Linked DNA regions of Cricetulus griseus. The protein of the gene in region 3 purifies or fractionates together with the protein of the main gene of each other region. This does not show direct contact. Links are inferred from orthologs where the notes say so. Each region holds a gene or a part of one and is shown on either strand. Other genes may lie near its edges.

Region 1 (5,508 bases), on a different chromosome or scaffold from region 3:
ATTAGTCAAGTTTTTGTTAGCTAAAACACAAACTAGCTGGGATTATATCTCACTATTAGAGCACTTGCCTATCACATTCAGGTCTTGGGCTCTAACCCCAGCAGTGAGGGAAAAAGTCCACAAAAATATATCAAACTGAGTATCTGGATACAGGGCATAATAAAATGAAATCAATTCTAAAATAATGCTGAGAAAAATCTGTTATCTAATCTTATTTTATTCCTAAATTGTTTTCTTAAATTTTCAGGTTCTCTGGACTGGACTTACAGATGCTGTTAAAGCCAACCTGTGCGTGCTGGGAACCAAACCCTGACCCTCTGGAACAGCTGAAGCAAGTGAATTACTAAGCCACCTTTCTGCCTGCCCCGCTTTTGATATTTTATGTACATGGTGCTTTTCCTACATGTTATGTCTGTGAGAGAGGGTCAGAGACCCCCTGGAGCTGGAATTACAGACAACTCTGAGCTGCCATTGGGTGCTGGGAATTGAACCTGTGACCTCTGAAAGAGCAGCCAGTGCTTTTAACCACTGAGCCATCTCTCCAGCCCCAACCCCTACCTTTTTTCGTGGTGATAGTGGTGGTACTGTGGATTAAGAATCCACAGACTCCTGTGTGCTAGCCAAATGTTCTACTACTGGGATACACCTCTTACATCTACACCTAAATTCTTGAATCAGTCTTAAACAGAGACAGGGTCTTGCTGTGTAGTCCTGGTTAGCCTAGAACTTGTTATGTAGACTTGGCTAGAATTCATACTTGCCTCATTCTTCTTGGCTCTCCTTCCTGAGCAATGGAACTGCAGGTATGTGCCACTACATCTCATCTGTTCTAACATATGGTCTTACTCAATATTGTTTAATGGCTCAAGTTCTTGAGTGATAAATCCAGAAACCTGATTCTACTCTTACCTTCAATATTAGCTGAAAAATATTATTTTAGTCTACCAATTATAAACAGACAACAAACCCATCAACAAAGCCAAAAATAAATGTAACTGGTATTTAGACCATATATCAAAAACATGAAATGATAAGAAATTACTTAATGTTCTTTGGGGGTAAAAATCAGTAGCATTCAAGTAAATTTCGTTTAATTTACTACTCCTAAAACTTCAGAAGTGATAAGGGATTCTGTGAAAGATACTCACGGTGGAGCTATACCCATGGCATGGAGATTAGCCAGGCCCACCATGTTGGCATTGCCAATAAGCCCTGGCTTCAAAGCCAGCTGGGCTTGAATTCGGGCTTGTAGTTCAGCTGCTTTCCTTGCCTTCTCAATAGCATCATTCATAAAAGTAGCGGCCTGGGAGGGCTGAATAGTGTTGCCAATTGGAAGTCGCTCTGGTTGGGAAGAAGAAGGTGTCTTTGGCTATAAGATAAAGATTAAAAGAAATCCAAGGGTTTGAAATAGGCATACAAATATATACACACCTTGATAGACTATGGTAGGTAATTGTGGCACTTTCTGGATTCTCATGTGAACGAATGACAACAAATCTTGTGCTAAATATTCTTTCAGAATAATCTGAACACAATACCTGAGGTGTAGGGGGGCTAATGAAACTCAGTTGTTTCTTCCTTTCCTCAATTTGTCGTGTTGCTGCCTCCATCATCTGTTTGATCTGTTCTCCAGAGGGAAAAATTGGAAAAGATCAATTTCTCCCATAAATGTTCCCAATGAAAATGCATTCAGTTCTAGAGACCTAAAAGTTTGTGAATGTTACACACACCCACTCACCCCCCACCCCCCCCACACACACCCCTGCACCTTAGAGAAGAAAATTCAGTAAAGAGTAAGGCAATGCTGGTTCACGCCTTTAATCCTAGCACATGTGAGGCAGAGGCAGGTGACTCTGAGGCCAGTCTGGTCTACCAAGCGAGTTACAGGACAGCCAGAGCTGTTACACAGAAACCCCCGTCTTGGGAGGAAAAAAAGAAAATTTAGCAAAGATAAGCCTATAAGATTAAGTGAGCTGGAGCGACGGCTCAGCAGTAAAGAGCACTGGCTGCTCTTCTGAAGCTCCTGAGTTCAATTCCCAGCAACTACATGGTGGCTCACAACCATCTATAATGAGATTTGGTGTCCTCTTCTGGCTTGCAGGCATACATGCAGGCAGAATACTGTATATATAATACATAAATCTTTTAAAGAAATAATTTAAAAAAATTAAGCACTACAATTTTTCAATCTTTCCCCCCAAGGTTGGACTGGTATATTAGGTAGTATACACCATTATGGTGACTGAAACTCAGGTAGTGAGTTTCGAACTGTGCCACTTCCTGCCTGTATTACATTGGATAAGGTTATGAATATCTTAACCTCCCAAGAATCTAAAAGGGGGGAAAGTAATGTATGCACACTTCCTACCAAATTACTACACAAGTGGGGGCAGGGTTGGAGAGATGGTTAAGAGCTAAAACACCAACTGTTCTTGCAGAGGACGTGAGTTCAGTTCCTAGCACCCACTCAGTGGCTCATGACCATCTCCTAACTAGTTCTAGGGGATCTGACACTTCTAATTTCCACAGGTTCCTACATGCACATGGTGTACATACACATACTTAAGCATGTAGACATAAAATGAAATATGCATTATTTTTAAAAAAAACATGTTTACCAGCCAGGAACGTTGGTACACACCTTTATCTCGGTACATGGGAGGCAGAGGCAGGCAGATCACTGTATGAGCCCAGTCTGTTCTACACACAGGGAATCACAGGCCAGCCAGGCTAAATAGTAAGCCTTGTCTCAAAAAATAATCATGCTATCAGCAGATCAATTTCTACTGTAGGTAACCATGGAGAAATGGTGCCAGCCTCTTTAGAGTTGTTTCTATAAACCCCTTGTTGTTTCCTAATGAAGTTCAGAAAGAGTCCTTGACTCTTAGGACATAGTCAAGTCTAGTGCTATCATTTCATTTAATTTCCCTGATGATAAAGTAGACAACTGGGTAAACAATGATGTACACACTAGGTATTCAATACATACAATTTCAATAATCCTTAGTTGGACTATTTCTGATCAAACCAAGGACTGCTAGAATATAAAGCAGGAAAAACTTCCCCAAATGGTTAACACTAATTCAAATGAAGATCACAGTGAACATGGACCAATGTTTTTTGTTTCAACTCACAACATCACTTTGCTTCTTTTAACTAACCTGGAGCTTTGTTAGCATGCCAGGGCTTTCTGATGGAGGCCCAGGGATCACCTCTGGCTCCTCTTCTACTTCCTCAAAACGGGGTATTCGCCGCTTCTTTACCCCTGATGATTCCTTTGAGATTTCAGAGTCATCACCGAACACCTCCTAAGGGAACCCAAGATGAAAGAAGAATCGTATCCCTCCCTAGGGAAAAAGGGAAGAACCATCCCGACCCTACAAGTATCCTGTGTTTTCCCAGGGGAATATGACACAATCTTTCATACAGCTTTCAAAGGGTCTTCTAGACTCTCCACCAAGTGGACCATTTCACCCAACTTCACCAATTTCCTACCCCATTCAAGCAAATTTCATCCCCATGTTTTTATAATGTTCCCATCTCAAGATCTTTGCCAATGCTACTGCCTACATTGAAGTGATCTTCCTCTAAATCCTTTCCCATAAATCCTGTCTAAAACTCACCTCCTCCAGGAAGTTTTGCTCATTATCATCTCATCCCACTCTGATCAACTGTTCTTCCACATCCTCTTAAGCACTTACAGCTTGGTTCATATTAGATTACATTATATTGCTGACACTGTTTGCCAAGTGTTAGGTAATACTTTCTCCCAATTAAAATCTAAGTTCTTTCAGAAAAGAGGCTTTTTCTTTTTTAGTATTCCCCAATAACATTTCCTTCTTATCATACAATGGGAACTCAAATATGTTGACTAATTTGCAAAATGAATTTAATAGGACCAAGAGTGGCCAACTGGAGGGACAATGGGAAAAAGCAAATGTACACACCGGTGGTAGGCTTTGGGTGACATCCCCTCTTCACTAGGAGGGCTCGTGTTTTGCAAGGACATATCCTCAGCCAGGGGCGAGCGCTTCCTGGAACTCCTACAGTTCAAGAAAAAGGACTCTCCCATAATATATTGTGTGGAGTGGGGACTTGAATGGACCAAAAATGGGACCCATATCCCATGCTATCTAGATTCTCCCTCAAGAAACCATTTCTACTATCCCACCCAATGTTGTCAATGCATTCAGAGCGTGAGCTTGGCACTTACAGTGGCATAGTACTATCATAACATAATCTTCAGTGTGGTGATCTGTTTGTGAACTAATCATACCTCTTAAGGTTAACACAAGTCTGAAATTCTATAATCAGTTCTAACTGTTACTCAGGTTTTATAATCTGTGGCTGATTTACTGCAACTCCTCACTTTTAAATTGCAGACTAATTTCAGGTAAGGACCATATCTGATTTCTCTAATCACCCTATGCTGTAAAAACCAAAGGGAAAGGAGTTTCTATATAGAGTCTTGAACCTATAATGTGGCCCCAAGCCCCAGGCAGTCACTACTTATCTTTTTGTGTCTCAGGACCAGCAATTGATACCGAGGTATCTAAAGCACTTTAGAGTGAGTATGATGGTGCGTGCTTAGAATCTTAGCACTCAGGAGGCTGGGTCAGAACCTGAGTTTGAGGGCAGCCTGGGCTTGGTGGCAAGATCTTGTCTCAAAAACCCAAAACAAGGGCTGGAGGGATAATTAAGAGGTTAAGAGTGAGTATGGCTCTTCCAAGGACTAGTGTGGTTCCTAGCACGTATATATATGGTTGCTCAAAACTACCTGTAATTCAAGCCCCAAGGGATTTGACACCCTCTTCTGACCTTTATGGTCATCTGTGTGTATACACATACATAAATAAAAATTTTAAATGAATCTTTAAAAAAATCCATAAACAAAAGAAAACATATTAAAGACAAAAACAAGCTGATCATGGTGGTACACACTTGTAACCCTAGCACTCAGAGAATCACAGTCCAAGACAGGCAGAGCTAGCTATATAGTAAGACCCTATCTCAGAACAAACCAACCAAAAACCCAAAAGAGGCAAAAGAAAGTCAGACAGAGAAATGGGCTACATTGGGGAACTGAGATAAGATCATATATAAAAAGACCATGACTATACTGTAACCACAAAATAAGTACTTAGCAGAAAAGGGAGTATTTCTAACTCTTTCACACATCCCACTCATGGAGCCAGTAACCACATACAACAAATGTGGACTATATGGCAGTTAGTTTCAGGCATCTTATCTACAAGTATATTAAATAGAAATCTTTATTAATGAACAAGACTAAGGTCCACAGTCAGGAAGCAGTGGAGATATGATGAATCAACTTACTAGACTTTAAGTAGACCAAGATTCTTAGATCAATCAATTTATAGGTAGTAGGTAAAGAGGGAATGGTGAAAATAAAATGTATGAATAAAGAAAGGACAAGCTATCAATTACTTCCTTGGACTATTTTAAATGAACCTTTTTGAGAAAGGTTCAGGGTGATGGAGATAATAT
Region 2 (6,117 bases), on a different chromosome or scaffold from region 3:
ACAAATGTAATAATAATAAATATTCAAGGAATGAGGATGTGGATTAGAAAAGGAGTTTTGCTGAGCACATCCAAGGTCCTAGGTTCAATCCCTAGCACTGAAAACAAAAAAAAAGTACTGCTGTAACTTTTGGAGAGATGTGCACACTGTACTGAATCAGATACTAGAAAACATTCTCAAAGAGTCCTGATTGACAATCATTTGCCTGTACATGGGTTACAAAACCAGGCAGATGGTTGGCACACTACAGCATTGGAGGATCCATGTATATTTCTGAGAACAAGTCAGTAAGATACACATACAGCAAAGCTCTAAGAATACTCTATTTAGAGGGACAAAGCTATTAGGGTAAAGGTACTTTGTGACTCTTTCATAGTAACGACTAATGATTAACTTTACAACTTATGTAGCCCCTAAATAGAAGTAACAGACTATTAAGAAACTCAAGTGGTTTAATAAATATGTTAAACTGTGTTCTTACCTGAAACCATTAATTAGCTACCATTACAAAAGTAACCCATTGGGCATGGTGACTCATGCCTAAATCTCAGCACTGGGGAGGCTGAGGGAGGAAGACTGCTGCAAGTTCCAGGCCAACCAGGCTACACAAGACCTTCTCAACAAAAATGATGAGAGGAAGCAATGGAGAAAGGAGGGGAAGGAGGAGAGCAGGACACATATGAAGTCTGGAGCTGTGGCTCAGTTGAAAAAGTGTGTATCGAGCACTTACAAGGCTCTGGGTTCCATTCCCAGCACCCATAAATTGAGCCTAGTAGTGAATGCTTATAATCCTAGCACTCAGACAGAGACAGGAGGATCAGGAGTTCAAGGCCATCCTCTCCTCTCAGCTAGAGTTTGAGGCCAGCCTGAGACACATAGACTCTGTACTAAAACAACTTTCAGGAAAGAGAAATGGTTCAGTGCTTAAAGAACACGGGCTGCCTTTTCAGAGAACCTAAGTTCAAGTCCTAGCACCCACATAACAGCTTATAACCTTGTGCAACTCCAGTTCTAGGGAATCTGACACCCTGTTTTAGCCTCCATGGATACCAGGCATGCATGTGATACATACATGCAGGCAAAACACCCATACACGTAAAAATAAAAGTAAGTCTAAGAAACAAACTAAAACAAAACTTTCAAAGGAGCAATAATGCATTCAACCTGATAATACTGCATAATGAAGAAACCCATTACTTTGGCCAGATATAGTGGCTTACACCATTAAACCCAGCACTCAGGAGGCAGAGGCAGTCACATCTCTGAGTTCCAGGCCCGTCTGATCTAAGGGAGTTCCAGGACAGTCTGGGCAATACAGAGAAATGCTATTTTGAAAAACAAAACCAAACAAAACACACACACACACACACACACACACACACACACACACACACACACACATTAAAAAAGAAAAGAAAAGAAAAGAAAAGAAACCCATTACTTTGTATTCTAACCTAAAATTTAAAAGAAAAGACAAGACTGTGAGTTAAAGGACAGCCTGGTCTTACAGATTGAGTTCCAGGACAGCCAAACCCTGTCTCAGAACAAAAAAACAAAACAAAAACGGTTTGTAACCACTTGGTTACCTGTATAGTACTACTGAAATAATACACACATTGACTAAGTGTTACAAAAACTGCAGTTAGACTTTCTAAAAAGAATCACAAAAAGCTGAATACATATAGATTTCAAATAATCTTATTTTCTTAGGTGCACTGTTATTGTTAAATCTCTTGGATTCAATAGTGATGTGTTCATTTAATCTTTTTATGTATTTTTTCCGTTTTTATTATTTTTTTTATTTTATTAGTTCAAATTAGGAACAAGCTTGCTTGCTTCAGATGTCAATCCCTTCTCCCTCTCCCTCCCCTCCCCCGCAACATCCACCTGCCCCTAGCCATCCCCCCTCTACTCCCCAGGCAGGGTAAGGCCCTCAAAAGGGGCTCCCCAAAGTCTACCACATCATCCTGGGCCGGGCCTAGGCCCTCCCCCATGTGTCCAGGTCAAGAGAGCATCCCTTCATATGGGATGGGCTCTCAAAATCCCATCTTTTTTTTTTTAAGACCTTACATATTTAATACAGTGCCCTACCCCTGTACAAATGGAAAAAAATTAAGTTCAACATTTCTAGAACAATATGGCTGTTAATTTTTGTACAATGCCAACTGAATGCGGTAAAATGGGATACTTAATCTTTTTAAAAATTTTTATTTCTTATGGTGCTCAGAAAAGAATCCAGTGCTTCAGGCATGCTAGGGGAGAAGTCTACCATTGAGACACATTTCCAGCCCCATTTTTCTTTTTTCACTGAAAGACTCTATTTATTACAGGAATATTATGAGATAAACTAACGGTCTCTGGAACTGGCTTGAAAATGGGTGTGGGTGGAGAGATGAAAGAACAACAACTTATTTTGGCAATTATTGAAGCTAAGTGATGGATGTGTCCATGAAAGGATTAATAATGCTGATGTCTCTCCCTTGTGAACATTCGTTTCATATTAATTTTTAAAAGTGAGATGAAGGGTGTTAATATAATTTTGCTTCACAAGCCTGTGTTTAACTACTTAGCTATAAAAGATACATTATGGTCAATACGAGACTGCACTTAGTTATGTATAGTAACATATAGTTATACTTTTATTAACAATTTTGGTGAAATATCTACAAAGAGGTAAAATTGTTAACTCCAATACAGATAGGGCATGGCTATACACTATACTTCTCTATAGCAAAAAATAAAGCATGGCGGGGTGGTGGTGCTCACTTTAATCCCAGCACTCAGGAGGCAGAGGCAAGCAAATCTCTAAGTGCGAGGCCAGTCAGGTCTACAGAGCAAATTTTGAGAGCTACTCAGAGAAATCCTGTCTCAAGGGGGGAAGGAGGGAAACAGGGAGGAAGGAAAGGAAGGGGAGAGAGGGAGAGAGAGGGAGGAAGGGAGGGAGAAAAGGAGGAAGGAAGGGGGAGAGAAAGTTAAAAGTTTTATAACTTTAATGAAAAACTTAAAACTGACAGTTAAAATTAGTGTAACCTAAGTATCCTTTAGGAAACGCCCCAATGACGAGGCAGTTAAAACAATTCAGTGCTTTTGCTGTTTCCAAACAGGGTCAGGCTATTTAGCCTTGGTTCGCCTCGACGTACACCAGGCTGGCCTCGAACTCACAAAAACCTGCGGCCACCACGGCCGCTAAGCTGTTTTTTGTTTGCTTGCTTGCTTTTTAAACGGCCACACAAACCACCATCAATACCACCTTAGCAAATTTCGGCTCACAACATCCTTTCCGTGCCCCGTGCTCACCCAGCACTTCGGAGCCACTCTTTCTGCTCTGGACCGTTACTCCCTGGCACTGCGCCCTTCCCTCTCACAACACGCCTGTCTCCGGCTCGGCGGACACAAAGGACGCATCCTTCTGCGCGTGTCCTCGCCATCGCCAGCCTCCACCCTGGGGATGCTCGGCAGGGCTAGGCTGTCACACCACACACACCAGGGAAACAAACAAACGCCCAGGGCGCTCAGCGTGCCTCTCACGAGCGAAGCGCGCACTCGCCGCGGCTCTCTCGCCTTTCCTCACACGCCCCTCAGCCACCCCGCGCGCCCCACGTCCCACGCCAAGACGCTCGGGACCGAGGGCTTGCGAAAAGCGCGCGCGGCGCAGATGGCGCATGCGCGGGGCGGGCTCAGCGCTGAGGGGCTCGCCCTGGAGGCGCGCGGGAGCCCGAAAGACCGTGGAGCACGAGCCCGGCGCGCGTCCTCCGGCCGGCCCCGACCCAGCCTCCCTCGGCGGGTGCCGCACGCGCCTCGGCCGCCCGAGCCTTCCCTGGAGCGCAGCTCTGACCGGAAGTGGCCGCTCCGACCCTGCACGCCGGCTAGGGGGAAGGAAAGCCCGCGTACTCACAGCTTCCGAGCCTCCCTGGAGAGCCCAAGGCGGAGAGTGGATGTCCTCCGGGCCGGGAAGGCCCCGCCGCTCGCTACTACCCTCCGTGTCCTCCCCTCGCCAGGCGGCCGAACCCACGGCGGGGACGGCCAGAGCCTCCCGGAGGAAGGCCCGAGGGCGGCGGACCCGCCCGGCCTGGAGCCCTGCGGCGTCACGTGACGTCACGCGGGAGTTCCCGGCGCCACGCCCCTTCCCCCAGCAGCTGGGCGGCGGCTGAGCGGCGGAGTGGTGTGGATCAGGGTGCTCGGTGCTTCGGAGGTGAACTGTCCAGGGTCCCCAGAGGCATGACAAACTCCGGCAACGTTCGTGGAAGTCCCTGGAAAACTGTCCAGCCGACCTGTTGTGAACGTGACCGACCGCGAGCCCTTGACTGTGTCTGACTCCAGCACGTTTCCTGGCAGTCAGTGCTGACACGGGGAGTCAAGGTGGACGGTTGGGATGGATAGGCTCGCTCTTGGTTTTCAGCCTCAGTTGCCTACGGTTTAGTGATGGCATCCGAGGGGACTGGGTGGGAACGCCACATTTCAAAACGATGCTGCCAGAGTTAAATGATGAGTTTCTGGCAAGTGTGGAGTAAGAAATTACAAGTGTCTACAGTTGATTGTAAACAGGCTGTTGAAACTTTTTGTGTGTGTTTTTGTTGTTAAAAAAAAAATGTTGAGTGCCCCAAGCGGGCTTCGGACTCACCATGCATGTTCTTGAACTTCTCATTCTCCTGTTTCCTTCTTCTGAGTGCTGATATTATGCTATAATTTGGTATGTAGTAGCCACCACACCAGGTCAGTTTGTTTATTTATTTATTTTCGAGACAGGATTTCTCTGTATAGCTTTGGAGCCTGTCCTGGAACTCTGTAGATCAGGCTGGCCTCAAAATCACAGAGATCCGCCTGCCTCTGCCTCCCGAGTGCTGGGATTAAAGGCGTAAGCCACCAACACTCGGCTAAAGTCAGTTTATTTTTAGGCAGTGTTGGGCATCCAGCCCAGGGCTTTGTGAATGTTAGGTCAGCACTCTCATAGCTGCTGAGTCATCTCTCCAGCCCCCTGTCTCACTTAAGACTTGAAGAATGAAAAATGAATTATATTTTTCCTCCAGCAAACACTCTACCACAGTTACATATACCCAGTCCTATTATACTATTATTGGCACAACATACAGGTCCTAATTTTCAGTGAAACTTTTATAGTTTCTAACAGAAATACGAAGTATAGATGGTACACCCATAATCCCCAGCCCTTGGTAGACCGGGAGGCTGAAATAGGACAATTGCTGTGAGCCTAACAGCAGCCTAGACTACATAGCCAGACCTTGCCTTAACCAAGACCAAAACAAAGCACCTCTCTATATGTAACCCATTTATATAAATCAGAATCCATGAAAACATCTCATTTAAATGTCCTACTAAATCCTGTCAGTCATAACTATGAAATCATCTTCTAAATCCATCCCTTTACTTTCATCATTGACTCCATAAACTACCATAATCTCTCTCTCTCTCTCTCTCTCTCTCTCTCTCTCTCTCTCTCTCTCTCTCTCTCTCTCTGTTTTTCGAGACAGGGTTTCTCTGTGTAGCTTTGGAACCTATTCTGGCACTCACTCTGGAGACCAAGCTAGCCTCTAACTCAGAGATCCGCCTGCCTCTGCCTCCCGAGTGCTGGGATTAAAGGCGTGCACCACCAATGCCCGGCCTACCATAATCTCTTATTTTTGTTTGTTGTTGAGACAGATCACATGCAATTTAGGCTGTCCTCAGATTTGCTATGGCCTCGAACTCTGACAGTCCTACCTGTAATATCCAAATGAAACTCTAGCTCACCAAACTCCCAAAGGCAGTCCAAACACAGGAAGATTTCTGGCAGGTAAAAGCCAGCATTCCACAGGAACTTGTGAAGCTGGTTCCCCCCTACCAAAAGGAGTCATTTCCCTTACCTCTGGCAGAAGGGACATAGGGCAACCTGTGGCACCTATTAACATACCAAAGTTGATGCTGGCCTCCAGGCTCCCTCAGTGTCATAAGTAAGCTGGTACACATTCGAAGTCCATGAAGCATGTCAGCCCTTCTCACCTCCTCCCTTTCCATAAACTCTTTCTAGCTACTAATTCTCGGAATAGCCCTGCTTCTCTCCCTATGTTCCCTGCCTCTCTCCCTTCCTCTCCTGCTCACTCTGATCCTGCTCCTTTCACT
Region 3 (5,508 bases):
AGAATCTAAAAGATGAAAATTCAAATAGCATTTCTCCCTGTACTTACTGCCTGCTGACATGCCAAGTAAAGGTGGGGAAGTCTGGAGGACCAAAGCAGGTAGGGAGCATTTACACACTGAGACTACAACCAGGCAGAGCTCCAAAAGTCAGTAAGGGCATATGTCCAGCACTTGCTTTTATTGCTCATGTGGATTGTGTTTTTCAGTGGATCTGGCTTCTCTGCTTCGTATAATTGCCAGGAGCCCCAATCGCCTCATACACAGCCTGGCCTCTGTGGACTTGGAAACCTGGGGAACACCTGCTTCATGAACTCTGCTTTGCAGGTAGAGGGGATAGTGGCCAACTAAATAAAACTGTGGGTGCGAGTTTGTGAGTGAAGAATGGGTCTTCTCTTAGATCACCCCAGTTCACCTCCTTTTAGAGTCTCTGCCAGGGTACCGCCTACTGTTTTGTTCAGAATGGCTTCATATTAGTGTTTGTAGGTCCTGACACTGTTGTTTGCTTAGTTGGTTGATGTTCTTATTTTGAGACATGGATTTTTATTTTCTTTCAAAAGAAAAAGGAGAAAAGGACTAGGGTTATAACCTAGTGATAGAGGTCTTGCCTAGCATCTCAGTACTGGGTTCAATCTCTAGCACCGGTACCACAGAAACAACAAACCCCAGTGTTAGTTAGCACAGTAATTTATGAGTGTAATCCCAGCACTTAGGGAGATCTCAAAAACAAACCCCAGTGTTAGCATAGTAGTTTGTGAGTGTAATCCCAGCACTCAGGGAGATCTCAAGTTTGAGGGAGATCTTATTTGAAAATTTATCTTTATTGATTAATCAAGTATTTATTGGGTATGTAATAAAATTGTGATATATGTGGGTGGCCAGGAATTAAGAGTCCAACAGCAAAACCAGGAGATCATGCCAGGCAGCACTTGGGAGGCAGAGGCAGGTGGATCTCTGTGAGTTTGAGACCATCCTGTTCTACAAGAGCTAGTTCCAGGACAGCCTCCAAAGCCACAGAGAAACCCTGTCTGGAAAAACCAAGAAAAATAAACAACAACAACAATAAAAACCCTAGGAGATCATGTTCTCTAAGAATGCCCTCAGTTGCCAGGCAGTAGTGGTGTAGACCAGACCTTTAATCCTAGTACTCGGGAGGCAGAGGCAGGTGGAGTTTGAGGCCAGCCTGATCTACAGAGTGAGTTCCAGGACAGCCAAGACTACACAGAAAAACCCTGTCTCCAAAAAAAAAAAAAAAAAAAAAGATTGCCCTTAGCTTTGAGGCCAATTGCAAGTTCAGGGTTTCCTAAGAGCACTCTCAATTTTTATAATTTGCTAGAAGGACTTAGGAATTTACTTAAAGCTATCATAGTTTATTCATGATAATAGTTTATGATGAGGAAAGGATAGAGATTAAAGTTAGCCAAGGGAAGAAGCAAATAGAATGTCCAGGAGGGTTCCAAATGCAGAATTCTGGTATGGCTCTGTATATATGCAAACCCAGCACTTAGAAGGCTGTGGCAAGGATTGTCCAGAGTTTGAGATCAGCCTGGTCTAAGAGTGTGTCAGACAAAAGAACTTGGTCTGTGTTTCTGTCTTTCTGTTTGTGCTGTGTGGAAGGGTTATGAGCTCTGATTTTGTTCTGTTTCAGTGCCTGAGCAACACTGCCCCCCTGACTGAGTACTTCCTCAAAGATGAGTATGAAGCCGAGATCAACCGAGACAACCCTCTGGGGATGAAAGGGGAGATTGCAGAGGCCTATGCAGAGCTCATCAAACAGATGTGGTCTGGAAGGGACACTCATGTGGCACCTCGAATGTTCAAAGTAGGTTGAGATACATTACTTTTTTTCCTCAAAAGAAAAGATTGTTTTTACATTGTGTATGCATGAGCACACTCTCATACATGTGTGCACACATGTTTGTACCATAGCACAAGGGTAGAGTTTAGAGGACAACTTGTAGAATTGTTTCTCTCTACCACAGATTCTGAGGATCAGCCTCAGATGGCCAGGCTTGATGGCAAGCATCTTTATCTGCTGACCTGGCTTGTTAGATTCCCTTCCCTTCCCTTCCTTTTTTTTTTTTTTTTTTTTTTTTTTTTTTTTTTTTCCTTTTTGTCTTTTGGAGACAGGGTTTCTCTGTGTAACAGCCCTAGCTGTCCTAGAACTCAACTTGTAGATCAGGTTGGCCATGATTGAACTTACAGAAATCTACCTGCCTTTGTTTTCCCGAGTTCTGGGATTAAAGTTGTACACCACCACCGCCTGATTCCCTGTCCCTTTTTTGTTCATTTGTTTTTGTTTTTTTGTTTTTTCGAGACGGAGTTTCTTTGTGTAGCCTTGACTGTCCTAGAATTTGCTCTGCAGGCCAGGCTGGCCTCACATTTACACAGATCATCATACATTAAAAAAAAAAAAAAAAAAAAAAGCTGGGCAATGGTGGCACACCCCTTTAATCCCAGCACTTGACAGGCAGAGGCAGGCAGATCTTTGAGTAGAGGCTAGCCTGGTCTACAGAGTGAGTTCCAGGACAGCCTGGGCTATACAGAGAAACCCTGTCTCAGAAATAAAACAAACAAAAAGGTAGAATCTAAGACTCAAAAGTTCATGTTATCAGACCCTTCTTTTCTGTCATTCAGAGCTGTGGTATTTGTTTTATTTTGTTGGTTTTGAATTTTTCTGTTTTTTGAGACAGGGTCTCACTGAGATGTTCTCAAACTCATAATCCAGTTGCCTTGAAAGATGTGTACCACTGGGCCTGTCTGACTCAGTACTGTGGGGTTGTTTGTTTGTTTGTTTGAGACAGGGTTTCTCTGAGTAACAACTCTGGCTCTCCTGGAACTCTTTGTAGATCAGGTGGTCTTGAACTCAGAGATCTGCCTGCCTCTGTGTATCTTTGGAGCCTTTCCTGGAACTTGCTCTGTAGACCAGACTGGCCTCAAACTCACAGAGATCCGCCTGCCTCTGCCTCCCGTCCACCACTGCGCAGCAGAAAAGCAATTCTTACTCATATTTTTTTCTCTCAATGAGGGAGTCTCAAGTGGTTGGTTAATGAAGACTCTTTCTTCTCTCTCTCTCTCTCTCTCTCTCTCTCTCTCTCTCTCTCTCTCTCAGCTTTATTTTATGTATCTGCATGCTCAGTCTGCATGTACACCTTTATGCCAGAAGAGGCCATCAGATCCCACTAGAGACGTTTCTTAGCCACTGTGTGGGTGCTGGGGATTGAACTCAGGACCTCTGGAAGAGCAGTAGTATTGTGCCATCTCTCCAGTCCCAAATACTCTCTTTCATCTTCTTGGTCACATTAATCCTTGAGAAATACAAGTAAATTACTGTTTCTATACTAAATCATAAAAAAAAAAATACTAGAATTGGATGGGTGCACACTGGGTTCATTCCTATGTGAATAATTTATAAATAGCATTTTGGGCTATTCCTCACTTGACTGATGGACATAGTTAATATCTGCAATGTCTGGTAGTAGCCATTAGCCCACGTGCTGCTGAGCATTTCTAATGTGGTTAGTATGACCAAGAGTCAGAATTTGGGGGGCTGAAGAGATGGCTTAGCAGGTAAGAGAACTGGCTACTCTTTTAGAGGATCCAGATTTGATTCCTAGCACCTACCATTGGTAACTCCAGTTCCAAAGCCGTCTTCTGGCCTCCATGGGTACCACATAGGCACACAGCACACACACACACACACACACACACACACAAAAAAAAAAAAAAAAAATCCATAAACATAAAGTAATAATTTTCAAAAAGAATCTCAATTTTAAGTTGTATTTAAGTTTTTCACTGGTGCTAGCAATTTAACCCAGGCTTTTGTGCAAGCTAAGCGAGTACAGTTGAGCTATACCCTAGCTCCTCTTTATTTTCAACTTCCTTGTATTTGAATAACCTCTGAATTAGTGGCTAAAGTGTTAGACAACACATACAAAGCAGAGCTTGTCGAATTTTAGGCTGTATCACGGTCTCTGGGAAGGCTTATTCAGGAGATTATGGGCCCATCCCTGGAGTTTGTGATTGAGCCTCAGTAGAGTTTGTTTTTGATAAGTGCTAGGTGCTGCTGCTTCTGCTGACTGGGACCACGTGCAGGGTTGCTGGAACGATCAGCACTGACAGAGCTGGGGATGTGAGGGCCGTTCTGTGTGTGACTCCTTTGTTTGATGCAGAATCATTTCTAAAGTTTTATAATTTAATCCTGAACCACAGAAGGACATTGGAGTGGAGCATCAGACTTGGAAATGTCAACAGAGAGTGCCTTCTCTACCCCTGTCAGAACAATGGCCTCATGTCAGGCCTGCTTTCTGATCTGAGCTGTCTTTCTGGGCCCATTGGCCTCAGGATGGCTCTTGGGGCGTTAGTTGGATGTTCACTCAGGTGAGGTTTCATACATTCCGGTGGACTGTAGAGCAGTCGTCATGTCCGCTGCCCTCTGACTTGTTTACTTTTTCTTCTTCACTGATTCTTTATTATACCTCCTGACATAGTTGCTTCTGTTGTAGACCCAAGTGGGACGTTTCGCCCCTCAGTTTTCTGGCTACCAACAACAAGATTCTCAGGAGCTGTTAGCCTTTATTCTAGACGGATTGCACGAAGACCTGAACCGAGTGAAGAAGAAGCCCTACCTGGAGCCAAAGGATGCCAGCGGGCGACCAGATGCGGTATGATATTGAAGCTGTCTACACAGTGTCCCAAAGAGACTTCCTTCTATTGGCAGCATGGGAACAGTCTTCCGGTGTTGGGTTAGTGCGAGGGCCCTGGTGCCTCTCGGTATTACTCATGACAGGGATGCATTCCTAGTCAGAAAGGAGCTAACTGTAGTCGCCTTTTCCTTTCTTTCCCAGTGCTCCAGGGCCTTTGGAATACTAGGCAGGCACTCTACCACTGGGCTACATTCCCAGCCCTAACATACTTCCTTCTGGGTTTCTTCAAGTTAGCTAGTTTGTTTAGTATTGCATTGGCAAGCCAGTAACTTCAAGAGTTGTAAAAACTTGAAAGTGTTGGCAGTATGCTCTTAGCATTGTTACTGCTCTTTGCAACTCAGCTGGGATATTTGTTTGTGGTACCGATGATAAAACCTCCAACCTCACTCCTATTGGGCAAGTGCTGGATCGCATTAGGTGGCCTGGACTGGCGTATTGTAGCCAAGTATGGCCTGGAAAGTTTGAGTCTTTTGTCTCCAGTGTACTAAACTAGCCTCTTCTCTCCGTGATTATTAAAATAATCTCATTAAGACTAAATTTAGGGCCAGGCAGGTGGTGGTGCACGCCTTTAATCCAACATTCGGAGGCAGAGGCAGGCGAATTTCTGTGAGTTTGAGACCAGCCTGGTCTACAAGAACTAGTTCCAGGACAGCCTCCAAAGCCACAGAGAAACCCTGTCTCGAAAAACCAAAAAAAAAAAAAAAAAAAAAAGACTAAATTTAGAGCTGGGAGGTGGCCCATGTCTTTAATCCCAGGATTTGGGAGGCAGAGGCAGGTGGATCTCTGTGAGTTTGAGGTCTAC
Region 4 (5,971 bases), on a different chromosome or scaffold from region 3:
ACTCTTATAAAGAAAAATATTTAATTGTGGTGGCTCTCTTATATTGTCATCATGGCAGGAAGCATCAAGGCACAATGCAGGCAGACATGGTGCTGGAGCTGAGAGTCCTTATTTACATTTTGATCCAAAGACAACAAGAAGTGGACTGAGATACTGGGCAGTAACTTGAGCATATATGAGACCTCAAAGCCTGCCTCCACAATGACACACTTCCTCCAACAAGGCCACACCTACTCAACAAAGCCACACTTTCTAATAGTGCCACTTCCTTTGGTGGCCATTTTCTTTCAAACCACCACAACAATATATCAAAAATTAACAAATTTCAGTTTCATAAAGGTTAGTTATCTGGAATCCTATCTATCAACTTTTCATATTTTGTGGCAATTGAAGTCTGTTGGTTCACCTTGTCCTTGAATGGATCTCTTACCAATACATGATTTTGTGATACCATTTTATTATCTGAAAAACATTGAGTCACTGAGAGATATCTTTCAAATGTCGACAGTTTCCATTAGACATTAATGTTTTTAAAGTGCACTCATCAATATCACCACTGATCTCATCAGAAAAGATTTAAGTATTGAGACACTGTAAAGATCTTGGCCAATTTCTTAAAAATTAATCTCAAAAATTATCATTGGCAACAATAAGTATCCCTTGTTCTTGGAAGTGACAGGAAAATCTGTTTTTGAAAAAGTCTGTCCAGAGCCAGGTGGCACATTGCTTTTAATCCCAGCATTTGGGAGGCAGAAGCAGGGCAGATCTCTGAGTTTGAGGCCAGCTCCGTCTGCAGATTGAGTTCCAGGACAGCCAGGGCTACTCAGAGAAACCTTGTCTTGAAAAAATAAAATAAATAATTTTTAAAAAGAAAAAGCCTGTCTATCTGAATAACCATAATGAGCCCATCTTCTTTCGTGCTAAACTAATGTTCTGTGGAAGTAAAAACAAAACCCTTGGTCTGGGTGGTGGCACACCGGTAATTCTAGTTACTGGAGACCCCAAGGCAGGAGTGGGGGTAGATGGAAGCCCTCCATGACTACATAGCTAGACTCTGCCTCAAGAAACAAGGCCCCAAATCAACAAAAACCAACAATAAAACCACAAATCCAGCCCAAGTCAAGCACAGAACATTTTTCCTAGAGTCAAATACGGCGTGCAACAGCTCTGCTTTATCCATACTTTCTATTTTTCCCACATTGTTTTAAAAAGTATATCCAGGGTTGAATTTTAACAAAATTGGGAATTTTATCGAGTGACACCTGGCTTCAGCTTCTTGTCATTTTCCAGTGAATGCACAGCAGCAAAAATACCCTGACCAGTGGTACAGTTTGGGGCCTGCCTTGGGTCAGTATCAGTGCACCGGCCCTCAGTGTGCACACAACACACGTGTCTCAGCATTGTCGTCGACGGTCTTAACATTGCAGCCTTCACGGATTTTGGGGTGCACCCTTTAAGAATCTCCAGAATTGTTCCTTTTTGGCGTTATTATATTTGATTGGGTTTGGCATCGGAAAGCCAAAGAAGAGCTATGCCAAGGGGTGGGCCACATCCAAGAAGGAAATACATGCACACGGCTTGGAGGCTCCTGAAGGAAGAAACAGCAGAAAAAAACCGGCTTCGGAAAGCAAGCCTGGGCTTCTCGTTGCCAGGGCGACGATCCTCCGCGAGAGGGCCCGGCCGTCGATTGGCGGAGCCTAGCCTGGGTCCCCAAGAGCCGGAAGGTCGCCCAGCTGCGGTCCCTCGCTCGGCGGTCGATTGAGGGGGCCTTCCTGGAAGCCGGGCAAGAGGGCGGGTGGGAAGATGGCGGCCGCGGCGGCCAGTGGGCTGCCGGGCAAGGGGCATGATATCAGCCTGGCTGCCCTGCGGCGCCACGACCCCTACATCAGTCGCATCGTGGACGTGGCCAGCCAGGTGGCTCTGTACACTTTCTTCCATCGGGCCAACAAGTGGGTGCGTGCGGACGGCGGGCCGGGGCGGGGGCGGGCGTGCTGGGCCGCTGGGGCGGGCGAGCGGGGGCGGGCGGGGACCCGATCCTGGAGGAGGGCGGGCTGCGCGACCCACCCCACCCGCAGGTGGGGAAGATGGATCGGAAGGTGTGGCCCGCGCCGCCGCGAGCCCCGCACAGGCCTCGAGGCCGGAAGACAAGCGCTCCGGCTGGGCTGCGGAGGGCAGAGCAGAGCCCCTCGCTTAGATGGGTGCAGGGAAACCCAGCCTCGCCGAGGGGGAGAAGCCAGAGTCCAACATTCCACCCAAGAGCGAGCTTGGGGGAATAAAGAGGAGAGAAGTGGGTATGTGTGGGACGTCCCAGACTTTGTGTAGGAGTCCAGGGTTCGTAGCCTAACCATTTCAGCGAATTTCACAAGACCGAACCCCAGCCTACAGTAACTGGATGAAGTTTAGTTTCCCTCACAACTAGAATGGAATTGGCACGGGAGACAAACTAGTTCTGGCCTAGGTATTGACTCACATCACTTATAAACCATACCTTTGGATATAAGCGTGGCAGTTCCCCCCTCCTTTGTGACTTTTGTACCAAATACCATTCACCTGTATAAACCATCGGTCTTCATACATACAGTTCAGTGGGGTATGAAGAACAGCTTGCAAGTATCCAAATGATTTCTTTCTTTCTTTCTTTCTTTCTTTCTTTCTTTCTTTCTTTCTTTCTTTCTTTCTTTGCTGTGTTCGCCAAGTCCGAAACAAACATCAAAATCTATGCAAGGAAAACTTTCATTATTTAGCAAATTCAGTAGGCTGTAGTAAAAACGACCCGGGAACCATGGACACAAAAAGAATAACGAAGGAAGTGGAGATGAAGCCTGAGTCAGGCTCCAGGTTCCATCCCCGGCACTCGTGAAAAAAAGACCAGGAATTATTAGGATAGTTGCAAAGAATTTATGTCTGTCCTCCTAGTAGCCAAACCCGAAGGGGAAATGTGCAGAGTTCTAATGTCCAGGGTTCTGCATAGTCCTGGCTCGATTAACGGAGGCTGTTTTTCATGGTCACCAGAGGAAATTACCATTTGGGTCTTTATGTGAAGGGAGTTCCTTCACGGAAACATGTGTGTTTACGTGAAGATAATCTACGTGTAGGTGCTTTACTTCTCTCCAGAGCATCCGTTCTCAACCTGCCCATTGCCACGCCCCTTTAATACAGTTCTTCATGTTGTGGTGACCACCCCCCACACACACAATAAAATTATTTTTGTTGCTACTTCATAACTATAATTTTGATACGGTTATGATCGTAGTGAAGATATTTTTGCAGATAGAGGTTTGTAGGGGGGTCGCAACCCTGCGATTGAGAACCACTGCTCTAGAGACCCATAATGTAGTTGGAAGTAATTCTGTAGTATTGAGTAGGACCCAATAAAAGTTAGTGGTGTAAGTTGACTCAGTGGGAGGCTCAGAAGCTGTTGAATGTACAGGGGAGCATCCCCCTTCGGTAGCAGGTTTCTAAAGCCTCTTCCCAGCCCTATGTGACAGAGACCTTACAGAAGCCTCACAGAGGTGTACCAGATACCCAGTGAAGCCCAGCAACCAATGCTACATAGAAGCTGTCACAATGCATTATTTACAGGAGTTTTGTTTTCCTGCTTTCTGGATTTGTTTTCTCCAGACAGGGCATAATTCATTCAGTAAAAGGTCATTCTTTCCAAGTACTAATCTTCCAGACTGTGGTCGCCTGGCAGAGGAGAGGGACCTAGTTCAACAACAGAGTAGTCAGTGGGGGCAATCAAATTGTCACTGCTGTCCCCCTGTGCTATCACTCAGATCTCCGGATGAGAGCCTTTCAGACATAAAGTTAATCAGAAGTATAAAGAATGGAAGAGAAAATATTTGCAAAAGGTTGGGTCTGAGTAGAGGAGTCCTTATTACATTGGAAATTAACATCAAGTATTCAGACACGGAATGACGGGTACAGAGGATGAGTCCCTGTAAAAAAGACCAAGGGATTGCAGATAGAGTGAAGTGGTAGAGCATTGCTTAGCAGGTATAACATGTGCACAGCTCCAGCCTAATTCCCAGGGCAGACACAAGTTCACAAAGGGATTAAGAAGAATTTTTCGGTGACTAGAATAGGAATTTTAGAACCACATCTACTCCTTTTTGCCAAGAAAGACTCCTTCCCCAAAATACCCTATGTACCAATGAAAGACTATTGCTGGTATTGTTTCTTACTTTGCACTCAGACCACTTGTTCTCAACTGGATTTGATTTCCTCCCACCCACTCCCCAGTGGCATTTGACAGTATCAGGAAACTTTGAGGATGAGGGAGTTGGTAACATCTGCAGAGTAGAAGCAGAGGTGTTGCCAAATGCCCTGCAGTGAGCAAGCATCGATATAGCTAGTCCAGAACATGAACGATGTGAGGCTGGAGGCGAGCCTGAGAACCACAGGTGTCCCTTATTTCTGGTTAACAGTCCTGAGTTCCCTGTGCATCAGAGTAACTGAGTTGAGAGGTGCAGTGGGTCAGACCAGAACTCTGGATGAGACAGCTGTGAAAGAGACAAAACTGCAAGGTGGCTTGACTACCTCATGTGTGATAGAGGCAGCTTCAAGTGGATCCACTTTTTATTATCTTAGAATATTCAGTGCAATTGCTTTCAATTGTTCAAGATGTATCAGTGTATTTACTTCTAATAACTTTTGAAACAGCATTATCTATACTCTTGATTATTTTGAGCCCCAAACTTGGGTGGGTGGTGGGTGGGTGGTGTGTGTGTTGTGTGTGTGTGTGTGTGTGTGTCCTTTATTTTCAGAATTTAGGCTAAAATACTCCAGAACTGAGATCTTACAAAGTTATTTCCACCACCTTACTTGGAGGATTTGAGGAGAACTAGTTAAAATCCCATTTTAACTATTGCCACACCCTAAATTCACTGATTGTACAGAAAAAAAAAAAAAAAAACTGACTGCCTTTGAAAATCAGTTTGAGCCAGCACAGCTCTACCACCAAAATACATTTCCAGAGCTCCTTTTAGCCAAGTAAGAGCTCTTAAATTTTTTTTCCCATTAAAAGATGTGATTGTGTAAGTTACCTTTTCGGTGGAGAAGGTGACACAGAACAGTAAATGAATTATCCTGGTGTGATCTGGCAGAAACCTCACTCTAGGCTCACATTGTAATTACTGAGTCATAAGTCCTTCCCATGAGCAACTCTAAACAAGACTCCAATTTGAGAATTGTTTTTGTGATTTATAGCTAATTCTGATTTTAGATTACTCTAAGGGACTAAATTTTTTTTTTTTTTTTTTTGGTTTTGAAGTAAAGAGAATTTTTTTGTTGCAAGCAAAAGGGAGATCAGTTGAAAGCAATTAGTTTATGTGTGCTGAAAATCTGAAAGGTCTGATTGCATTCCAAAGAGAACAGACCAATACTGCAGAGTAGGAAACTGCTTTGGTCTTATAGCCAAGGAGCCCGACAGTGTGTGCACATAGGTTTCTACACCGGTCTCAACTTCAGTTCCCTTCAGTGTAACTCAAAGTACCAAATACTGGACTTTCACAGTTTCCTTCTAAAGCCGATGTATATTGCCTAAACACTTGCCAGCTGTGTCAGTTCAGCTCTAAAGGGGGCCTGAGAATGTGCATTTCTAAGGGGCTCCCAGGTGATGATGCTGCTTCTCATCTGGAGTCACTCTCCAAACCCCCTGCACTAAGTCTCTGAGAAAACAGCTGTAATCAAGTAGATTACTTGAAAAGATCATGCTTTTGATTCTGTGCCTTTAAAACCATTATTCTAATGTTACATCTTTTCCTTGAGAGCTTATTTGGAGGTTCTAGCAGGGGAACGCAGATACTCCTTGACCAAAGACCAGTCCTCTATTGGGAAAGGTCGTCCTCTTTGACCAAGCGCGCAGCAGCTTCAGGAGGGCCACACATGGAGCGGTGAGGGAGGAAGGGGACACCCGCCTAGCCAGCCAGATCAGCCGAATCAACCCTGGTGATCAATGGGGTGACAGATG
Region 5 (5,508 bases), about 11 Mb from region 3:
GCAGGAGATGCTCATCAGAACAGCTGAGGAGTCTTTAGACACATACATTGTGACTCATGTCTCCCATCCCGTCATAAACTCAGGCAACTCTGAACTCTTAGACTGGCTTTCCCTGTCATTCTAATCCATCCTTCAGGCTGCCTGATCCTTTTGTCACTATGAATGTCACCTTATGTTATTAACAAATTAGCAAGATCCCAACAGCTCCACTTAACCCGCACCATGCCAACAATCTTACCCAAGGCCACTTCTCAGTGGTCTGCTCCACAGCAGGACTGTCTCCCAAGACCCAAGGACTTCAATTTGCTGTGTTCCTAAAGGTAGGCTGTTTTCCTTCGGTGGCTCCCACTATGTGGCTACTCTGGGGCTTGGCAAATGCAGACAGTAGCTCACTGCCTCACTTATCAACCCTGAGGACCTTTAGAATCTTACCTCACCTACCCTTCCAAAGGGAGCTAAGTGCTCTACACATGTAGAGTCCAAACAGCAGCAAAAACACACGAGTCACTCCAGGCCAAGGGCCCTGCCTAGCTTAACCTGGAACATTAACTCTACTGCTCACACTGCATGTTTGCCAACACTCTTCCTCCCTCTCAGACAGCCCACACAATACTCCTGTGAGCAATTGCCTCAGTGACCCCTCCAACCCTAAACTCTGAAGTGTCCAACAAGCAGAAAGATGGGGCGCTAACCCTGTGTTTCATCCTTAGCATGGTCTTCTGCACAAGGCCTTAGGCCTTCATCCTCCTCCTCCTCCTCTCAGAGCTGAGGCTGATGCTCTCAGGCACTTATTGGTAGGAAGCCAGAGAGCTGTGAACGACTTTCTTGGACTCAAACAAGAGGCTCAGTACAGACCATCTATGTCTTTTCTCCTATCTCCACATGCACAGCATAAATTACTATAAATTACCATATATAAGTTGTCCCATTAAAAATACTGGGGGGAAAACCAGGGCATAGCAAGGATCATTTAAAAACTTCAGTCATCCAGGGACAAGCAAATGCACCCTGTGAGCACAGACTCGGGAGTACTTACCAGCTTCCACAATGGCTGGCTTGTTGCTGGAGCAGACAGATAGCACCTTCAGCACTCTGCTTGTGGTCCACAGAAGCTTCTCATAAGTATAGGTCCTCATTATATTTACTAAGGCCTGGGGTCCACCACTGGCCAGGATGATCAGCTAGGAAGACGTACAACTAGTGTCATACAACTCCAGAAATGCTGGAGAGGAACCCATCAGCAAGTTACTGTGTCACATCAAAGTGTATCTCTGGACCTCTCTGACGCAAGGTCTCAAACTGGGGGGTCCTAGGTATGTGACTTCTATACTACAGTATTCTGCTCAAGTCCAGGCATGCCAACACTTTCAAGAATACATCAACTTGGGCTGGAGAGATGGCTCAGTAGTTAAGAGCACTACTTGTGCACTACTTACTAACCCGGACTCAATCAATTCCCAGCATCCCCAACTGTCTCTTAAGTCCAGTTCCAGTGTATCGGACATACCACCCCCGACCAAGACACACATGCAGGCAAAACATCAATGCACGTAAACTAATAAGAAATAAACCATTAGAGGAAAAAAAAAAAAAAAAAAAAAACACCAACTCTGGCCATCTCCCCAAATGGAACATAAAGAAAAAGAATATGAAAAGCAACCATGTTTGCCTGTAGTAGTGAAAGTTGTCAGAACTGCCAGTTGAAAATGGGCACTAAGAGCCCATAGCCTCTGCCCTTGACCTTCTGAAAACACTGCAGAAAACATTTCCACAAGCAGATCTATTTCATACCTATGCTCAAAGTTACATCACCTGGTCTTTGGTATGCCCTACAAGCCTCACAAGGTCTACCCAGACTATGTGTTTACAGCCTTACCCCAAAACTTTCTCAAGCACTATACTCTGAAAGCCCCACCCACACCACCCTCCTTCCCCTTCAGGGCTTCCCTACATGCCTTCCTCTCTCTCACCTGCCTCCACCTACTATAAACACCTCACTGCCTCTCAAGCATCTCCACAAGGCCCTCAGAACAATGTTTCTTCTGTGTACTGAACCCCTTCCTTCTAGTCAGATTGGCAATTATCTCAAGGGTAAAGACTCTGGAGGCCTTTTCGTGTCCACTCAGTGCGATGCACAGCACGGTGCACACAGACACTCAATGTTGAGAGGACAGAGTGCAGCTCCTCTAGGGTGCACACAAAGGGCAGGTCAGTGAGTCTGGAGCCTGTGGAGCCTCTGTGCCCCATGCTAACAGCTTTCATGACTTTACCTTGCTCTCTTGATTGCCATAAGCTAAGATCTGCAGGCAGTCTGTTGTAATAGCCAAGAATTTCACGTTTGTTTTGTTGAGCAAAGCAACCATTTTTTGCAGTCCACCGGCTAGGCGCACCGCCATTTTAGCTCCTTCCTGATGTAGCAGGAGGTTGTGCAGCGTCGTGATGGCATAGAACAGAACAGAATCCACTGGTGACCTGAGAAGAAAGAAAAGAACCTTTGTCAAGCCAATACTGGCACCCTTCTTCTTCCCACCTTTCTGGTTATGTGACCGACCACTTTCTTACCCAAGCATTTTCACCAGAGCAGGAATGCCTCCAGATTTAAAGATGGCCAGCAAGCCCTCACGGTGGTGAGAAAGGTTGTGTAAGGTCCCAGCAGTACAACGAGCTGTTTCTACATCATTTGTGTTCTGCATGGTGCGTACAATAGCAGACACCATCTGAGGAGAGCGCATGATGGCATGTCTGGAAGCTTCCTTTTTGGAAAGCTGATGAACCATAACAGCAGCTTTATTAACTACCACCTAGAGTACAGGGGGTGAAGAAGCACCATTAGTTTCCAAATACTGACATCGAACAGCCATCGTCACCCTCTCAGTTTCCCTCAAAGTAAACGGGAAGCAAGCTGTGTAACTGCTTACCTGGTCCTCATCATTTAGCAGTTTTGTCAGCTCGGGAATTGCACGTGTGGCAAGTTCCGCGTCATCCTGATAGTTAATCAAATTAACAACGGCATGCTTCAGCATCTGGGATGGCTCAGCCAGGCGCTGGACGTTGGTGGGATGAGCCGCGTCAAACTGTGTGGACGGGATCTGCATACCCTCATCTAGGGTCTCAGGGAACATGGCAGCTCGCACCCTCTGAGCCCGAGTCATGGCGTACTGTCCGTCAATATCTGGGAAAGGAAAATCCATGTGAGACTTCACTGTCCTAAGTGCTAAGTAACAATGCACCCGACTTTCCTCTGCTTTTCACTTGTGCCTGTGTGTCTCTGCCACCACACACCCTTGCTAAGAAACCCAACTCTAGCTTTTAAACACACAAATGCTTTTTACCCGCCACTTGCTCTTGAGTGAAGGACTGGGAAAAACCTTGCTCCCACTCATACAGGACTTGGGAGGTGTCCACATCTTCTTCCTCAGGGTTGCCCTTGCCACTCAGAGAAGGAGCTGTGGTGGTGGCACCAGAATGGATTCCAGAATCCAAGTATGACTGCTGCTGCCAGTGACTAACAGCAGCTTTTCTGTCCGGCTCCATGGCCATGTCCAACTCCATTAGATCAGCTGTAAAAACAAAACAATTTAGTGCACTGAAAATGATACCTGAATAAAATATCCATGACAATGACCCATTGAAATACATTTAGAAACGTATTTCAGCAACCAAGGAGATCAGAATGATAGCCAGTGTGTGCTCCATGGTAGAACAGGGGCAACCCAGTGGCATTCAAGTTCCAGAATCACTCAAGCTAGACTCCCACGGGTAGCTTGCTGATTATTTCACCAAGCTGGTAGTAGTAAGCAGAACAGCAACAGGTAGGCTGGCAAACCAAAGCCGGCAGGGGCAAGAGAGCAGCAGGGACTCTAAGGCAGCATACAGAAGCCACAAGCAGCTCCCCGGGGCACAGACCTTGAGTAGCCATCGTCCACGCACGAGTGTGGTGTCACAGCTGCTGTACACTAAGCTTCAGATAATCCTGAAAAGAAAAATCAATTCATTAAAATTTAAGCAGATGCCTGCCACATGTGTTATATGTCCCACCAACACAAACCAAAAGCATGAGATACACTGAAAACACAGACCCTGAAACACAGCTCCACCATCACTGACCTTCTGAGTGAAGGCCATGTCTCAGCAGACACACAGGTGCTGAGAGAGAACAACTCCTTTGCTCTCCCATGAAAGCCAGCAAAAGGAACAATATTCAAATTTCAACTGCTCTGTGAATTCCTGAAGGCTAAAGACACTCAGACTGGGCTGGCCATGGAGACAGTGGAGTTTTTAAAAAACACCAAATTTTTATAAAACAAATCAGTTGTTTTTGCTGATATAACACTGATCAGAATGGCGATTTAAGAAGCAAAATTACTTGTCAAGTCAAAGTCTGAAGCACAAATAGAAATACATTTATCAAAAGATTTGTATGAGTTCAAGCAGTGATGTACACACCATGGCAACTGGTGCAGTTGCCCCTAGGATCAACAACAGAATGTAACATTTCTCACAGGTAAATTTTAGTCTAAGTAATGTCTGCATTTTAGTTTTACTGTACAATATTGAAGAAAAATATCAAATCACTAAGAACCAGATGGAAGCTTGGGGTTCGTGGTCTCTAGGTACTGTATGAACAGATTTCCATTATTAATGTGTGTCCCAAGCAGGGTCATCTTGCACTACAGCTAACACAAGGTGTCCTTACAAATTAACACTGCGTGCATAAAGGACCTTTAGGTATGACTGCATCTTCAGTTCATGCAAAGGTGATTCTGAATGTTTGAACAGAAACCTCACACTAATGACCATTTTTTCTCTAAGCAGAGGGAGGCACATTGACTCCTTCCCTTTGTTTTCTGAGAAACTGTTACTCTGAAACCCACACTAGCATTCCCTCTGCCTTGTCCTCCTGATTTCATCACTCCTCCCAGATTAAGGCAAGTAAACTCAAGCTGGGCCCTTGCTTTAGGCTCCACATACAGACTGACACTTGAGGGGGACCTCTCCCTCAAGAATCTTGTGCCTTGCTGGACGGTGTCCTGGAACTCTGTGAGTTCCAGGACACCCAGGACTACACAGAAAGACCCTGTCTCGAAAAACCAAAAGGGAGAAAAAAAAAAAAGAAAGAAAGAAAAAAGAATCTTGTATCCTAAAATGAGGGCACAGCCATATGGTAAGGCACGGCTTTCGATCTCAATCAACAAAGATGTCCGTCCACAGCGTGTGGAGAGACCAGAGTGGCCCACTGTGCACACATTACCTAGTGCTGCCATGCCAGCCCTCAGGTAGGTGCAGCTCTTCCTCATCTGGCCAATACAAACAGGCCTGGGGACCGTTTCCCCCTTATGGTGCACAGCCCAAACACTTAATCTCTTCCTGGGTAAATCCTGCTGATCTGGAGCGTGATTTATTAGTAATTTTACGGGGTGGGGTGGGGATTCATGTTTCAAAACTCACAGTATCTGCACATGTTAGGAGTCCTGAACACAACATATAACATACATTTGTTATAGCATA

Evidence for each region.
Region 1: the proteins of Usp4 (region 3) and Prpf3 purify together in Homo sapiens (co-immunoprecipitation; 4 studies listed by BioGRID and IntAct, with this or other methods). This does not show direct contact. The link is inferred for Cricetulus griseus from reciprocal best matches to the Homo sapiens genes USP4 and PRPF3.
Region 2: the proteins of Usp4 (region 3) and Rbbp8 purify together in Homo sapiens (affinity purification with western blotting; 3 studies listed by BioGRID, with this or other methods). This does not show direct contact. The link is inferred for Cricetulus griseus from reciprocal best matches to the Homo sapiens genes USP4 and RBBP8.
Region 4: the proteins of Usp4 (region 3) and Dcp1b purify together in Homo sapiens (co-immunoprecipitation; 3 studies listed by BioGRID and IntAct, with this or other methods). This does not show direct contact. The link is inferred for Cricetulus griseus from reciprocal best matches to the Homo sapiens genes USP4 and DCP1B.
Region 5: the proteins of Usp4 (region 3) and Ctnnb1 purify together in Homo sapiens (affinity purification with western blotting; 3 studies listed by BioGRID). This does not show direct contact. The link is inferred for Cricetulus griseus from reciprocal best matches to the Homo sapiens genes USP4 and CTNNB1.

What each region holds. Positions count from the first base shown.
Region 1 is NW_023276806.1:60,656,957-60,662,464, reverse strand, and holds part of Prpf3 (U4/U6 small nuclear ribonucleoprotein Prp3), read right to left. Parts: intron 4,044-5,508; exon of another isoform or gene 3,948-4,043; intron 3,309-3,947; coding exon 3,162-3,308; intron 1,623-3,161; coding exon 1,539-1,622; intron 1,370-1,538; coding exon 1,149-1,369; intron 1-1,148. UniProt on the Homo sapiens protein: Plays a role in pre-mRNA splicing as component of the U4/U6-U5 tri-snRNP complex that is involved in spliceosome assembly, and as component of the precatalytic spliceosome (spliceosome B complex).
Region 2 is NC_048595.1:224,693,650-224,699,766, forward strand, and holds the start of Rbbp8 (DNA endonuclease RBBP8), read right to left. Parts: upstream 4,036-6,117; 5' UTR 3,896-4,035; intron 1-3,895. UniProt on the Homo sapiens protein: Endonuclease that cooperates with the MRE11-RAD50-NBN (MRN) complex in DNA-end resection, the first step of double-strand break (DSB) repair through the homologous recombination (HR) pathway.
Region 3 is NC_048597.1:216,539,678-216,545,185, forward strand, and holds part of Usp4 (ubiquitin carboxyl-terminal hydrolase 4), read left to right. Parts: intron 1-206; coding exon 207-324; intron 325-1,645; coding exon 1,646-1,819; intron 1,820-4,505; coding exon 4,506-4,664; intron 4,665-5,508.
Region 4 is NC_048601.1:25,696,211-25,702,181, reverse strand, and holds the start of Dcp1b (mRNA-decapping enzyme 1B), read left to right. Parts: upstream 1-1,775; 5' UTR 1,776-1,803; coding exon 1,804-1,953; intron 1,954-2,075; exon of another isoform or gene 2,076-2,291; intron 2,292-5,971. UniProt on the Homo sapiens protein: May play a role in the degradation of mRNAs, both in normal mRNA turnover and in nonsense-mediated mRNA decay. May remove the 7-methyl guanine cap structure from mRNA molecules, yielding a 5'-phosphorylated mRNA fragment and 7m-GDP.
Region 5 is NC_048597.1:228,007,384-228,012,891, reverse strand, and holds part of Ctnnb1 (catenin beta-1), read right to left. Parts: intron 3,974-5,508; 5' UTR 3,920-3,973; coding exon 3,907-3,919; intron 3,561-3,906; coding exon 3,333-3,560; intron 3,173-3,332; coding exon 2,919-3,172; intron 2,802-2,918; coding exon 2,563-2,801; intron 2,473-2,562; coding exon 2,271-2,472; intron 1,182-2,270; coding exon 1,037-1,181; intron 1-1,036. UniProt on the Homo sapiens protein: Key downstream component of the canonical Wnt signaling pathway.